Diceros bicornis minor: one gene and its partner. The protein of the gene in region 1 purifies or fractionates together with the protein of each later gene. This does not show direct contact. Links are inferred from orthologs where the notes say so. Each region holds a gene or a part of one and is shown on either strand. Other genes may lie near its edges.

What was found.
Region 2: the proteins of RSU1 (region 1) and PARVA purify together in Homo sapiens (affinity purification with mass spectrometry; 3 studies listed by BioGRID and IntAct, counting the BioPlex papers as one, with this or other methods). This does not show direct contact. The link is inferred for Diceros bicornis minor from reciprocal best matches to the Homo sapiens genes RSU1 and PARVA.

The regions. Positions count from the first base shown.
Region 1 is NC_080775.1:17,074,504-17,081,746, forward strand, and holds the start of RSU1 (ras suppressor protein 1), read right to left. Parts: upstream 3,024-7,243; 5' UTR 2,903-3,023; intron 2,661-2,902; 5' UTR 2,658-2,660; coding exon 2,549-2,657; intron 1-2,548. UniProt on the Homo sapiens protein: Potentially plays a role in the Ras signal transduction pathway. Capable of suppressing v-Ras transformation in vitro.
Region 2 is NC_080746.1:70,670,552-70,678,026, reverse strand, and holds the start of PARVA (alpha-parvin), read right to left. Parts: upstream 3,013-7,475; 5' UTR 2,961-3,012; coding exon 2,825-2,960; intron 1-2,824. UniProt on the Homo sapiens protein: Plays a role in sarcomere organization and in smooth muscle cell contraction. Required for normal development of the embryonic cardiovascular system, and for normal septation of the heart outflow tract.

The sequences.
Region 1 (7,243 bases):
CAGCGACCCACATACAAAGTAGAGGAAGACTAACACATATGTTGGCTCAGGGTGAATCTTCCTCAGCAAAAAAAAAAAAAAAGTAAGCATTATGTACAGTACTGATAAATGAGCCCCAATTGAGGAATGGGCTTCTGAAGGCACCCTGGAACCCTCCAGGCTCCAAGAGTCCAGAAGTCAGGGAGTTATGGGAGAAAGTAGCCACTCCTTGGGTCTACACACACTACAGAGGAGGCAGAATCTCCAAATTCACTTCCACGAACTCCCCAGAAGCACTGTGGTTCTTCCTTAAGCCGCTTCTTTCAGAAAACTTAAGAAGGATCTTGCTTTTCAGCAAATAATATTACACCGGAAACATCTTTTTCAGGAAGCAAGTGGCTATCTTTGCTTCTTCAATAAAAGCCAAGGCTTCAAAGAGATAACGCAAGTGAACCGAAATAGCTACACCACACTCCCACTACTTCTAAATATTACATAAAGAGTCCTCTTCAAAGCTGAGGAGAATAAAGTTCCTCTGCTGAAAGCAACCTCTTTCTTCAACCCCATGAGAAAAACAGAGTTGAGAGCAGAAAGCCATGAGGCCAAGAACACAGCTGAGCCAGGCCTCCTGCCTGCCGCTCGCCATCCTCTTCCTCTACTGCAGAATGCTCTTGATGACCATCACGACCACAGCAGAGCCAGCCAGGCCAGCGCAGGGACACATCCAGATTCGTAACTGCCAATTCAGAACCAGACATCCGCTCTGTTGCTGCCACCGAGAAGCAACCACCACGGAGACAGGACAACACATCCCAAGGGGCTGAGATGCTAATTAGTACAAAAGCTAAGTTTAACGGCAGGTGTCTTCCTAAGGGTTACCAAACACAAATCGTCTAAGCTTTTCAGCCCTTTTCCTTCTGCTGAGATGTATCGACAGCACCAACCCCAATCTCTGTCCCAGGCACAAACCAGGGATTCACAGTAAATTTGACTCCGTGCTCTCCATGCCTCACAAGCAATCCATCATCTTTCAGGGTCTCCTGGACACCTCCTCTTCTCCTCCAGTGTCACATCCCAGTCTGGATCTCATAAACTTGCAGGCCTAATCCATCCTTCTTTCCTTCATTCATCACACATTTCTGAGCTCCTACTGTGTTCCAGGCACTATGGTAAAGGCAGCAAACGTGAATATTGCACAGCTTTAGTCCCCCCAGTCTCCCAAAGGGAAAGAGACGTTTAGATTAGGAATGCATTACAATCCTCTGTAACAAGAGTCATGAAGCAAAGCACATCCAACTTCACAGAGGAAGGAGTGACTGTGTCTGCTTGCTACAGACAGAGAAGGCTTCACGTAGGCTGTGACATCTGAGCTGACCCTTCACAGATAAAGTAAAAGCATTTCAGGTGAAGAAAGGCGGAATGCAAAGCAACAATACTTGTAAAGGCACGAAGACCCCAAAGAGTGCACCCTGGTTCAGGAAAGGCAATGGGTTCAGTATGGCTGGGACGCCAAATGCATGGAAGGGACAGGAGCTAAGGTAGAGTGTAGTCAGATTCAGACAGGCCTTGCATGTCACGTCAAGGAACCTGGGGCATGACTGTTGGTACTGAAAACCAGGAGGAGTGTTTAAGGGAGAAGGTCCAAACAGAAGCCACATTCAGCCTGAAGAAGTGTTTTGTTTCACGTCTAAAGTATTTTTCAAATATTGGAATTAGTTGCCAACTTCTAAAAATCAGGAAATTTGATGTGGATTCTTGGCTTCTTAAAAAAAAAATCTGACAACACTGGGCCAACGTCCCCAGGTGGTGACAAGTGTTTGGATCTGAGTAGCAGGTGTAGCAGCTACCCCTTCAGATGGGATACTATTATGGAGTTCGTGACCATCCTCACCTGGCCCCCGCAGGCATTTGAGTTTGCAATCCCTGGTTTAAAGGAGAGTAACACAATAATATGTGTTACAGGAAAATAACACTGAAAGCAATACAGCGACTAAACTACAGGGGCAGTAAAACTGGAGGTGAGAGAGAAAGTTAGGAAGACATCACAATAGCACAAGCAGGAGATAACAAAACAGGAGATTACAAAAGCCTGAACTAAGTTAGGAGAATAAAGATCCAGAAAAAGGTAACGAGTCAAGAAACGTTTAACAGACTCCAGGCACAAGAATACCTATCATGTAACTTTTGTGTGGCGTTTGTTCAAGGGCCAAAGACTATATTAGGCGAAAAGAAGAATGATTCAAAAATGATTTAATTAAAACATAAAGTGGGTATTAAGTAAACTGTGGGGAAAAGCCACCCAAATGCCATAAATCAGCACAGACATCTGAGGAGGTTCAGCAGGAACAGTCTGTGTGGTTCTTATCCCAGCTCTCATGTTCATTTTCCAGTGGGAACAGAACAGATTCTGACTGCAAACTTTCTGAGCTGAGCTCTTGACAAGGGGTGTTTACAAGCAGGGGTGGGATGTAACCCATTACAACCTCTCATACCACGACTTGGCAGTTACTCGGAAAACTTACAAACCCTTCCAGCTCCTCCCAGGGGAAGGTCCTGCCCGAGAACTTACACAAGCCGTTGACGTCCAGCATGTTGGAGATGCCCCGGTCGCTCATGTCCACTTCCGGCTGGTTCTTCTCCCGGCTCTCCTCCACCAACTTTTTCAGAGACTTGGACATGATCTGTACCAAATGACAACAACAAAGCACGTGAGCGACGGCCAGGAGGGTGCAGGGATAGAAAGGAGAGAGCCTGGCTGGCACTTTCTGTTGTTGCCCTGGCCCTGGAAAGTGGGCATCAGCGGGCAGAGTCCGAGCGCAGGGAGGGGGATGGGACAGGGCGGGGCAGGGGAGTGGGGAGGGTCCAGCACCACTCCGGCCGCGCGGAGAGAAGCAACCCCGAGTGCAATGGCACGCACACTCACCGCGGAGGGCAGCACCTAACAGGTTGGGCGCGGGAGCGGCCGGCTTCCGCAGGGCGCACTTCAGCGGCAGGAGATGCACAGTAACTGAGCAAAACGCGCACCCCAGCGAGGAACACGCCCTGGCCCGGCGCTCGGCGCAGGCGCACACCGCGCCGCTCTCCGCTCCACGCCCCGCCCGCCCCCGACCCTTCCCAAATTAGGAGAACAGTTTACTAGACGTGGCTCAGGGGCGAGGCTCCGCCCATTAAAAAGAATGTGTACCCTGCGGCCGACCAATCACGTCCGTTACTCGGCCTTGAGACTCCGCCCCACCCCGAGGTTAGTCCAGCCCCCTGGAATCCCCGGGGCTCGGGATTCCGATTGGACCGGAGTGAGCACGTGCGCACTAGGTTGACGCATGCTCAGTTCCTAGGTCGAAGCGCACAGTGCTGTGGGCGGAAGCGGGGAAGTTGGGGGAGCGACTGCGGAGGGACGTTTGTAGCTGAGGTTAGGTCCTGGGGAAGTTTGGAGTCCATTTCTGTCGGTGTCCTGCTTCTGTGAGTGTGGCTCCACTTACCAGAAGTTGCTACCCTGAATCCTTTCTCCACAGTTGTGCCTCCCGCTGCCTTATGAGCTCCTCTACGACGAAAACTCGGTGGTGGTCTGTGTGTCCCCTGCGCCCAGCTCGCAATCATGGACCTCTGTGTCACAGGAAGGGGAGCATGGTCGGATAAATAAATGACCTCTTTTCCTACACTGCACTCAAAATTATACCATATTTTAGTTTGCTTTCTGTTGAATGATAATGTCCTTATACGATTTTCATTGTTTTTTCACTAGAGTGTCTAACTGCTTTTCTTTTTCTTTTTGTAACCTTCTTTACCCTATGCCTAAGATCTTGCCGCTTTTCATTCCTCTCCATTGCTTGAAATCCAATCAATTCTTCCTGAGGACTTGAGGAACCCACTAACTTACTGCTGTAACTGATTCTTTCTGTCCTTGCAGCTGAGTGGCTATCTGTGATTTCTTTTCACTTGGTTTCTGGGTTGAAACTGGCATTTCCTGTCTACATCTTGCTAGAGTACCTCTCAAGTAGCTTTGTCTAACAGGGTGCGTAGGAGGCACAAATTTTGAGTAGTTACATGTTTTTAAATGTCCTTATTTTGCCAATACCTTTATTCATTTGTCTAGCACAGAATTCTAGGTTCAAGATGAGTTTCTAAAATCCTGAAGGCACAGTTCCACTGACTTCAGCTTCCAATGTTAATGCCTAGAAATGTGTCGGTCTCCTCAAAAGTCTTTGCGGGGAACTGTTGTTTTCTCTTGGGAAACATTTGTAATTTTTCTTTTTATTATTCATCATGTTCTGAAATTTCACCATAATATCTCTGGTTGGTGGTCTTTTTCCACTTAATCTGTTTAGCACTCCTGGGGTCCTTTTCAGCTGAAGATTCATTTCTCTCTTCCTCCCTGGAAATTGTTTCTGCTGTTGCTTTGCAATTTCTTTCCTGCCATTTTCTCTGATTTATCACTCTTTCTGGAAATCTTGTTAGTCAGATGGCAGCCTCCTGGGCTGATTTGCTACAGTTATCTTTTTTCTCATATTTTTTCATTTTTAAAAGTCTTTTTAGCTTAATGTCCTGGAATATTATCTCAACTTTATCTTCCAAATCTTTTATTAAATTTTTGAAAATTATTTTGGCTATTAACAAAAAATACTAAGTCCTCTTTCTTGTTCAATAGCAGCCTGCTTTTGTCTCATGAATGCACTCTCTTCTCAAATATCTCTGAGGATAACAATTTGTAGACCTCTCTCTGTTTACTAAATTATGTTTCCTCAAGTGTCCCTTTTTATATGTGTGTACCTAGATTTTTTTCCCATTCATGCTGCTGTAATTCTTCCTCTGTCTGCTGATTCTGGGTTGTCCTTTCATATTCAAGCATGAAGTCTAAGCTGACTTTTCTAGATAGCTGGTGTGGTTTCTTTCCTCATCTGTTGTTGATCTGTATTTGTTTCCCTCCTGGGTCAGCATTAATTTTCCCTGAGCTGTTGGTTAAATTTCTTGAGAGCTGAGAGCCCAGTTTTACAGCTGCCTGTAATCACAAGGCTGCCTTTGCTGGTGGAGGGAAATTGTGAATTCTGAGCCACTTATACAATTCTGTTACTTCCTAGCTCACCCTTTCACCCTGCACCTGCCAGCCCCGTCAGATAACACCTGGAAAGTAGAGTCCCAATTCTGCTGCGTTTCTCTCTGGAAATTATTTTGGGCTGCAGTTTCTTTCTGTTTCGTTTGTCAGCATGCTTCCATTCACTTCCTGTTTTCCAGAAATTTGCTTTCACTCCCTGATAATTTTCCTCTCAGACTCTTCACTTATACCCGTGCTATTCTGAAGGAAATGTGTCCCTAAATTCCCGATTTTTATAACATGGAAATAGGCCCAGCTTCCTCAGTATGTGACCTAGGCAGTTATACAAAGCTCCGGGCTTAGATGGGCCCCATGCTTGGTTTAATGCCCTGCTGTCACCAGCTTGAAACATTTAATAATTATTTTAACAAGAGGCCCTGCATTTTCCTTTTGCACTGGCCCCTGCAAATTATGTAGCCAATCCTGCAAGAAGTCAATATTTATCAGAGCATAAAACCCTGCCACGGCATCACTGCCAAATGCTCTATGCTGAGATAGAATCTGTGCTTCAATACTTCAAAATTAGAAGGAATGTACTACCACTGCCTCCCCTCCGCCCACAGAGTGAGCCAATCAAAGATAGGGTATGGAAGATGCCTGGTCCACCTGAGGCACGCCAGACTATGACTACTGGTAAATTCACGTAAATTATTTCGTAAATCATTAATTCTAAAAATGCTGTTTTTGAGCCAGCCCTGATGGCCTAGTGGTTAAAGTTTGGCACTCTCACCACTTCAGCAGCCTGGGTTTGGGTTCCTGGTCATGGAACCATACCACTTCATCTGTCAGCTGCCATGCTGTGGCCGTGGCTCACATAGAAGAACTAGAAGGACTTACAACTATGATATACAACCATGCACTGGGGCTTTGGGGAGGGAAAAAAGAAGGAGAGAAAAGAGGAAGATTGGCAACAGATGTTAGGCCAGAGCAAATCTTTCCAAAGATCTGCACCAAAAAAAAAAAAAAAGCCTTTTTTATTCCCTAAACCATATTTATAATAAACGACTTACTAAGTGACATATAAATAAAATTATCAAATTAAAATTTGAAAAGCAAATTCTTCATCAAATATAGAAGAATTATCATATCATTTTTCTTCCAATAACTTCTCCATTAAATTGACAGCCATGGGGTGACGTGTGATCTCAACAAGTAAAAAATTTTCTTTCACTAACATTATTTTTAATGCTGTATAATCTTTAAGTTTTTACTCAACTAACAGCAATTACATTAAAATTTTTTCTAGGTCATATAACAGTGTCAGTCTTTTTTAATAATTTCAATAGATCTGTGAGGATAGTTTGACTGTCATATTTAATAAGTTCACACCTAATCCTTCAGGCCGGGTGGGAGGCACTCTCTGGGGTGGTTGCCAAGGTTAGAATCTCAGCTCTGTCACTCAAGTTTTATATAATTTTTTCATACCTCATTTTTCTCAACTATAAGATGGGGCTGATGGTTCTTAGTATTCTATTTCAGTGAGTAATACATAAGAATGATGCCTGGTGTAGAGCAAATGTTATATAGATATTAGCTCTCATTTTTCTTAATAAAATTAATGATGTTAGTATTCCTTTGGTGAGTGTGTGGCAGATTTTTAACAAATTCCTCCCATTAAATGGAGTTGAAATTTAATAGGAAATTATTTCAAGTAGAACCCATATCCTGGGCATCTCCTAGCCCCAAACCGTCATTGGCCCCCTCCATTCCCTGGGGCATTCTTCACAAGAATGCCTGAAGTGCCAGGAGATTCCACTGGGTCCAGAAAAAGCCTGTGGCCACCTCACCCTGAGCTATCCCAGCCAGTTCCCTGAAGACCAGATGAGGGCGACTCTGACCAGCAATGGCTCAAATTAACCCTGAAGACCAGAAGGCATGAGCACTGTCTTCCTACTAAGGTCCAGTTGTTTATGGAGACAGGAAACGGGAGGGGAGAGAGATCAGATGGTGGATGGAAGCCTGGTTCCCCCCATTCTGGGTCCCAGACTATGAGGAGATAGAGATGGGTATTGCCAGGAGAATTGAATCCAGAATGGCCACCAGCTGGTGCTGAAACAGGGTCCTACAGTCCCCCTCTAGGCCAAGCATTAGCTCTTGGGTTGCTGGATCAGGGGAAGGCTGGAGGGAAGAGGTGAGGTTGTGGTTTGGCTCTTGTCCCTGCCCTGCTCCTTCTCA
Region 2 (7,475 bases), on another chromosome or scaffold:
AGGTAAAGCATTGAACCCTGAGATCTAGCACACGCGCACCAACAGCGGGTTATCTCAGACCAACCCCAACGCCTTCTTTGACTGGGCTCGCAGAACCACCACGTGCAACAGCGAGCAGCTGGAGCTGGGTGACGGTGGGCCCCATTTACATTCCCTGGATTAGCTAATAGACTGAATGACAGAATCAGGACTTAACAGTTAAGTATAATACAGATGATAATAAGATCTTGTACTTGGTTTCAAAAACCCAATTGAGTAAACCTCAGATAGGGAAGGAAATGGTTTAGGAACAACAAACATAAAAATGTCTTTGAGTAAGCAGATAGCAAGTGCAATGAGAGATAACAGCGTGAAGTAGCTGGCAGAAGAATGAAGAAAAGCAGGCTTAGGGGCCGGCCCGGTGGCGCAAGCGGTTGGGTGCGCGCGCTCCGCTGCGGCGGCCCGGGGTTCGCTGGTTCGGATCCCGGGCGCGCACCGACGCACTGCTTGGTAAGCCATGCTGTGGCGGCGTCCCATATAAAGTGGAGGAAGATGGGCACAGATGTTAGCCCAGGGCCGTCTTCCTCAGCAAAAAAAAAGAGGAGGTTTGGCGGATGTTAGCTCAGGGCTGATCTCCTCACAAAAAAAAAAAAAAAAAAAAAAAAAAAAAGAAAAGCAGGCTTAGCTGCATGAAGAGAACATGGTGTCTGTGCTAGAGCAAAGGAGGTGACAGCTCTGTTCTCACCTGGGCTGGCTGGACTGGACTAGTAAGCATTATGTTGACCTCTGGGCAGCTCACTTTGAGAGGGTCTGCTAGTTATTCTCCAGCCCCCCTCCCCCACTATGATCTATTCTCTGCACTGCTCTGTGCCCTAAGCGAGCTGACCCCCACATATTGCATCACCCATATTCCCTAGTCCTTGTGACTTCCCGCTGGGTCCAGCCAATGGGAAACACCAACAAGAGATTCCAGGGCAAGAAGAGAGAGAACACGCAGAGTATCTCTTGTGCCCTGTCTCCCTGCTCCACCTCCACATCTCCCACAGTGGCTGTGTCCCTCTGCAGCTACAGTTCCTGCCAGGCAGCCCACCCTCCACAGCTCCAGCTCTCAATGGGTTCTGGTTTGCTCCCCTTGTCCCCTCAGGCCTAGGGGTGGTAAGAGCTTCCCACTGTCTGCTGCTGGCCCCTAGGTTCCTCATCACCCCTCTGGGTTCCCTTAACCCTGCCCACACCTCTCTACATAGTCCCTTCACTACTCTATTTTCAAAATCCCAACTAAGTTGACCTTCTGTTTCCTGCAGGGGTCCTGACCAAAACTGAAGAGTTAGGAGGCCAGCGGGCCATAAAATCATGTCTATGAGGACCAGCTATAGGAACAGAGGATGTTTGGACTGGTGAAGGGAAAACTAGGACACAGGCTATCCACTGGAAAAGAGTGAAGGCCACCCTCAGACTCATCCTCCCAGCTCCATGAATAGAATAACAGTAGATACAGAGAGATCAACTTTTTACTTTTACAATAAAGCAAACTTTTCTAAAGAGTTGCAAAGGTGGGGTGAGCTCTCCTGGGAGGTCATGAGCTTCAGAAATTCTGAGTTGCCCAGTCTGAAGCTAGAGAGCCCATATCAGGAATACTGTAGGAAAAAGTTAGAAGGGTAGTCTAGAAAAGGACTTTCCAAGCCAGGGTTTCATGATTTGCTACCAACTGTACACTACTCAGACAACGGTTTACCAAAATAACCACACTGGGGGGAAACATTTTTGGGGATCTGTTTTGCTGCTTTTCACATCAATATAGACAACAGAAGTCTAGTTCTTTGTGTCAAGTTCGATAATTCTCAACACTGAAGTTCTTTTTTATGCTTTAGGATAACTCAGAACATAAAACTTATTTTCCATCCCAGCATCATCGCCTTCAGAAGAGTTATTCCCAAACCACTGAGCAATCTATGAAAAAAATTTAACCAAACAACTTCTACCTACACATCCATCACTAGTGCTTCTTCAGAACTGTGACCTCATTTTTCAAACCAAAAACCAGGATGTGAAATCTGCCCATGGAACAAAATACTTTACATGCAAACTGTCCTGGAAAAAAATAAGATCGCCTCAATTCACCCTGGTGGGAAAAAGGAAATGGTTTTTGCAGGAGCCATCAACTCCTGAGTTCACAGAAGGGTCGCAGCGCAGGATGCTAAGTGTGTGTGTCTAATCCGGGTTTTCTCCTCTGGTGCAACTTGATCATTTATTACATGGCCGGATCATTTATTACATTATCCCTCATTCATTCAACAAACATTTGATGTTGATCTACTCATTAATAGAACCCTGCTGGGCCCTGGGAATGGACAAAAGATCCAAAGAGGCCAACGCTGCATCTGGACCTAAGCAGGTCTAGGAAACGACCTGATGGCAAAGACCAATGAAAGCGAAGAGTCAGAGTGACGGCGCCCAGAAAAGTTTCTGCAGAAACTTGGGAAATGCCAGCCTTCGGGGCGGAGAGGGCGGGGACTTGGGGCCTACGGGAGGACGCCGCCTCGGGCTCCTCGGCCCTCGGACCACGCAGAGCCGCCAGGCCCTGCGCGGACGTCGCCTGGTCCCAGTGCCGGGCTGTCCCACCCGAGCGCCCGGGCCCTGCAGCGCAGCGCCGGGCCACCACCGGCAGGGCGGCGGCGGGGCCCGCAGGGCGCGCACAGACTGGCACCAGGTTCCCGGGAAGCGCGCGCCCGCGCCGCCGCGCCCCGCTCCCACCGCCCCGGGCACCCGCGGCGCGCGCCCGCGCGGCCCTGCGAGCCCAGGCCCCCTGCCCCGGCCCCTGCCGCTCGTCAGGCCGGGCCGCACTCACCCTCCTTGGCTTTCTTCCTCCGGGCCAGAGTCCCTCCGAGTTTCCCCAAGAAGGAGTCATCTTTCTTCCGGGATGGGGGCGACTTGGGAGTGGGGGACTTGGGGACAGAGGGCGACTTCTGCGGGGAGGTGGCCATGGCGGGGGAGCGGGCAGCCGCGGGCCGGTCGGGACGCGGAGCTGGCGCTGGGCGGACGCGGCGGGCGCGGCGGGACTGAGGCTGCGGCTTTCCAAACGGAAGCGGAATTATTCCAAGCATTTGAGGCAGCTCACGCTCGCCTTTCCCTTCCCTCTCTCCCTCCCTCGCGCCGCCCTCCGCCCTGGAAGGAGCTGCGCGCTCCGGGCCCTCGCCCCGGCCGGTCCTGCGCCCCGCGCCCCTTGGCTGCCCGCAGCAGGGAGGGTGCCCCAAATCTGCCCCTTGCAGGACGTGCGGCATGATCAGTCTGTGTGCCCCTCCAGCCCGGGAGCCTCCTTTCCCCCGGCTCTGCACCCAGCACAGATCCAGGCACAAATGGGGGTTCAGTGATTGCTGAACCGAACCCACCTGCTCCTCTGTCTCCCAGAGCCTTCGCCCCGCCTGCTTGGTGAGGAGCTCGCGCTTCCCTTGCGTTTATTTCTACCTGGACATCTATTAGGCCCATGTCTTGTGCCCACAAAGGAGAGTGAGCCAGCTCTAGGAAGAAATAGAGTGACCCAAATTTGTTCAGGTCCTGCCAACTGGGCACATCCAACTGTTCCTGCACTTGTCCTCGCTGTCAACCTCCTCTTCACACCCATCCAAGACTGAGAAGTTTGAAGTCCGTGAGCGCAGGGCCGAGGCTTCTTACAAAACACCCCTGTGTCTAGCAACTCAATGGCTTGTACAAAGGAGGATCCCAAATATTGGTGGAAACATGATTTGGAAGGTACGCCGTGGGCTCCTGTGAGACACCCCCATCCCAAACTTATCCCGCCTAAATAAAAGCAACAGAGTGACAACCAGACTCATTTGGAGTAATAGGGAGAGGCACAAACCGCAATGTGTCAAGCACTCTTGCTGGAATTGATTAAAAGACACATTTTATTGTTCTTGCCCTCTTGAAGTTCTCACTTGGGATCTCCTGGCCGTCTCTCTTTCACACACACACTCACACAGCCCCTTGGCAACTGTGTTTCCTCCAAGTAGGTACAGCTGATTGACCCTGAGTGATCACCCGACCCAAAGGATGCTGATCCTTGACTGGAGAGCTGCCCATCAGATAGTGTCCATCAAGAATCCGGACTAAGCTCCAGACACTGTTGTCCAAAGTTGAGCACTTAGTGATGATCATGCAGACTGAAGACTGGGGTGTCAATGTCTAGCCACATGCATGCTGATGAGTAGAGAAACAAAAGAATGGAGCAAAGAGTGTGGTCTGAGTAATGAACAACCATGGGGAGTAGCTGCCTGGGCCTTGACTCCTTCCAGGTGCTCACTTATAGTGTGTGGGGGGGGGGGGTGGCGGGGCGCGCGGCCTTCCTAGGACGTGTTCCTAAAGCCTTTTAACAACCCATCCGCCTTTACTTGAGCTAAGCAGCAAAATGACAAGCAACAATTCCTGAGCACAACAAAAATTTAACAAACGAGAGGGACAATAGAGTCTCAGTACGTGTTCATTTTATCCTTGCTTAAGAGTCATAATTTTACCTCTTTTGAAAATTATACTTTAGCTGATGCCTCTGACCTAATAGAAAGCAGAGAAGTCATGATGACGGCTAGAATTTTCACCCAGGAGCAGGGGAAGATTATGACACGTGACCCCCACCCCCATCCCCAACTATCACCTTGATAAATCTTAAAGAGATGCTGAGAAGCCAAAATAGAATTGTGGGTTGATGACCTCATTAATCATTCTTGTTCAGATATTGGATACATAAGGACATCTCCAAAATCTGATCTTTAGCCCTGGGAACTCTTGCCAGGGACTCATGAGCCGCACAGCTCAGTAGCCATGTGATCTTGGGCGAGTTTACTCCCTTTTCTGAATCTCCATTTCTTCATCTACAAAATGAAGTGGTGGAGCAGAATGGTGGTTCTCAAACCTGATTATTCGTCACAATCCCCTAGGGAGTTTGTTACAAACATTCACAGGCCCCACCTCTAGAAACGCTGATTCGGTACCTCCGAGGTGAAACCAAGGGGGTGGGTATTTTTTTTGTGTGTGTGAGGAAGATCAGCCCTGAGCTAACATCTGCCAATCCTCCTCTTTTTTTTTTTTTTTTTGGCTGAGGAAGGCTGGCCCTGGGCTAACATCCGTGTCCATCTTCCTCCACTTTATATGGGACGTCGCCTCAGCATGGCTTGACAAGCGGTGCGTCGGTGCGCACCTGGGATCCTAACTGGGGAACCCTGGGCCGCTGCAGCAGAGTCCGTGGACTTAACCGCTTGTGCCACCTGGCCGGCCCCAAAGGATGGGTATTTTTTAACAGGGGCTACATCAGGTATAGGATTTCAAAGTAGCTGATCCACGCACTGATGTTTGGGCACCTAGAGCCACTTTCAGCTCTGACAGTCTATGATTCTCTATTCGTCACCAATTGCTGATATCTGTATGCAGGGTGTAGGTCCTAAATATGGCATGGTCAAAATTACACATAGAGATCTCTTAAATTGCTTGTGCACGCTTTTGTATATACAACCCTCTTTGGTAATTTTTATGCATACTAAAGTTGGAAAGCAACTGAGCAAGACTAACAGGAGGAACAAACAAAGGAAAGTCTAGATTGTTGAATGCTGGCTCCCAGAAAATACCAGCAAACCAAGCTGTAGAGAAGGTAAAACTGAGTTTATTGTATACCAGGGTAAGAAAAGCCCTGCCTTGGCAGTCTTAATAGCATTTTGGACTGGGGGAGGGCAAAGTGGGGATATTTATAAGGTTTTGGAATCTAGTTTAAGGCAGGTCTTTCAATGGGGTGATGCTTGATTTATTTTGGCTAAGGCTTGTGATATAGTAGTATAGGATCTGTGAACACAAGACAAGACAAGAGTAAATCGTCTTTTTAATGCTATCTATTGAAAAGTTTAAGGGTTTTATGTTTATTTCAATGAGATTTTGGGGGAAGTCTTTGAATAAAAAGAAGTTATTTGTAACTTTAATCTTTCTGTGCAAGAGTTTTTTGGAATAGAGTTATGTTGATAAAGATAGGGGAATGATAAAGTCCCCCTAATGTAGACAGTAACCTGTATGGGTGTGAGTGGTTTCCAGGGTCTCAATATTATGCAGATGTCTTGTTATTCAAACCTTTCTGCCTCTAAGATAATTATCAATCTCTCTTGAAAGGCCAAGGGGGGATGGATGGTGAATTATAAAGTGTAGCCTGAAAACCAGTATTGATCTGCAAACTGTTATCGGTCCTCAATGATATAAATATAGAAACTGAGAGTGTTTAGAAACTTTTATAACAATTTAACAGTGCACTTTTTATATTTGTTTAATTTGATAATAAAAATTGGAAGCTTATATTTTGAATGTCTTTTTATTTTTCTAATAATTCTTTTTTTATTGTATTTTACAAAATACTGATCTATGATGGATTGGTCGTTCACCATAGATTGCTTAAAAAGCACTGTTCTAAATTGCTCCGGTTTGCTTACAGAGTTTATATACTCTCTTTTGATGTTATGCTTTTATAGTCGTTATGGATGTGAATTGACCTGGTGTTTGTTCAGAAGAGTAAATGAGATAATATATAGGAAAGCACCTTGCACAGGGCCTGGCACTGAAGTAGACTGAATCTAAATCTAGCTTAATCAGCGACACAAACATGCTGTTCTTTGATAAGCTGCAGAGAAGATGGATGCACCAGCTCCCTCCAATCTAAATTGGTATTTACAATTATGGCCCCACTGATGAGCAGCCTTCTCATGCTTGGTGGTTGGTGTTATGCTACCCAAGGGTTAGATGATAAAGACAGCTCATAAGTTAAATGTGTGTAGCTGTGAACCTCTGCTGAATCTCTAGGCCAGTCTGTCCCTGAAATCTAGACCTTGGAGTGAATTACCCAGTTCCAGTTCTGGCTCAGTCCTGGCTAGGTGACCTTCGACAAATCTCTGTCCCTTGTGTACTTTTATTTCTATTATCAGTAAAGCAAAGCCAAGGCAGTAGTATCTACTACAGCTGAACATCACACATACATTATGATCAACAATTTCAATTCTAGGTTACACTCAACAAAAATGACTAAATTTGTGCACCTAGATACATGTTCTAGAAAGTTCATGGTAACATAATTCAAATGCCTATTAACAGTTGAATCAGTAAATAAATTTTGATAATTACACAATGGAATATTATACAGCAATGAGAATGAACAATTTGCAACTACAAGCAGCAATAGGAATGTATCTCAATATAATGTTAAGTGAAAAAAATCAGACAAAAGAGGATATACTCTATCATTCTAATCATATAAAGTACAAAAACAGGCAAAACTAATCTGTGATATTAGAAGTCAGGATAATGATTAGCCATGGGAGAGATAGTGACTAGAAGGGGGCAGGGGCAGTGGCGGGAGGCAAGAGGGAGGCTACAGGAGCTAGTAATGTTCTGTTTCTTGACCTGCGTGACTAGTTACATGGGTGTATTCACTTTGAAAATTCATGGAGAATGAACTTAATAATTCGAGCAATTTTCTG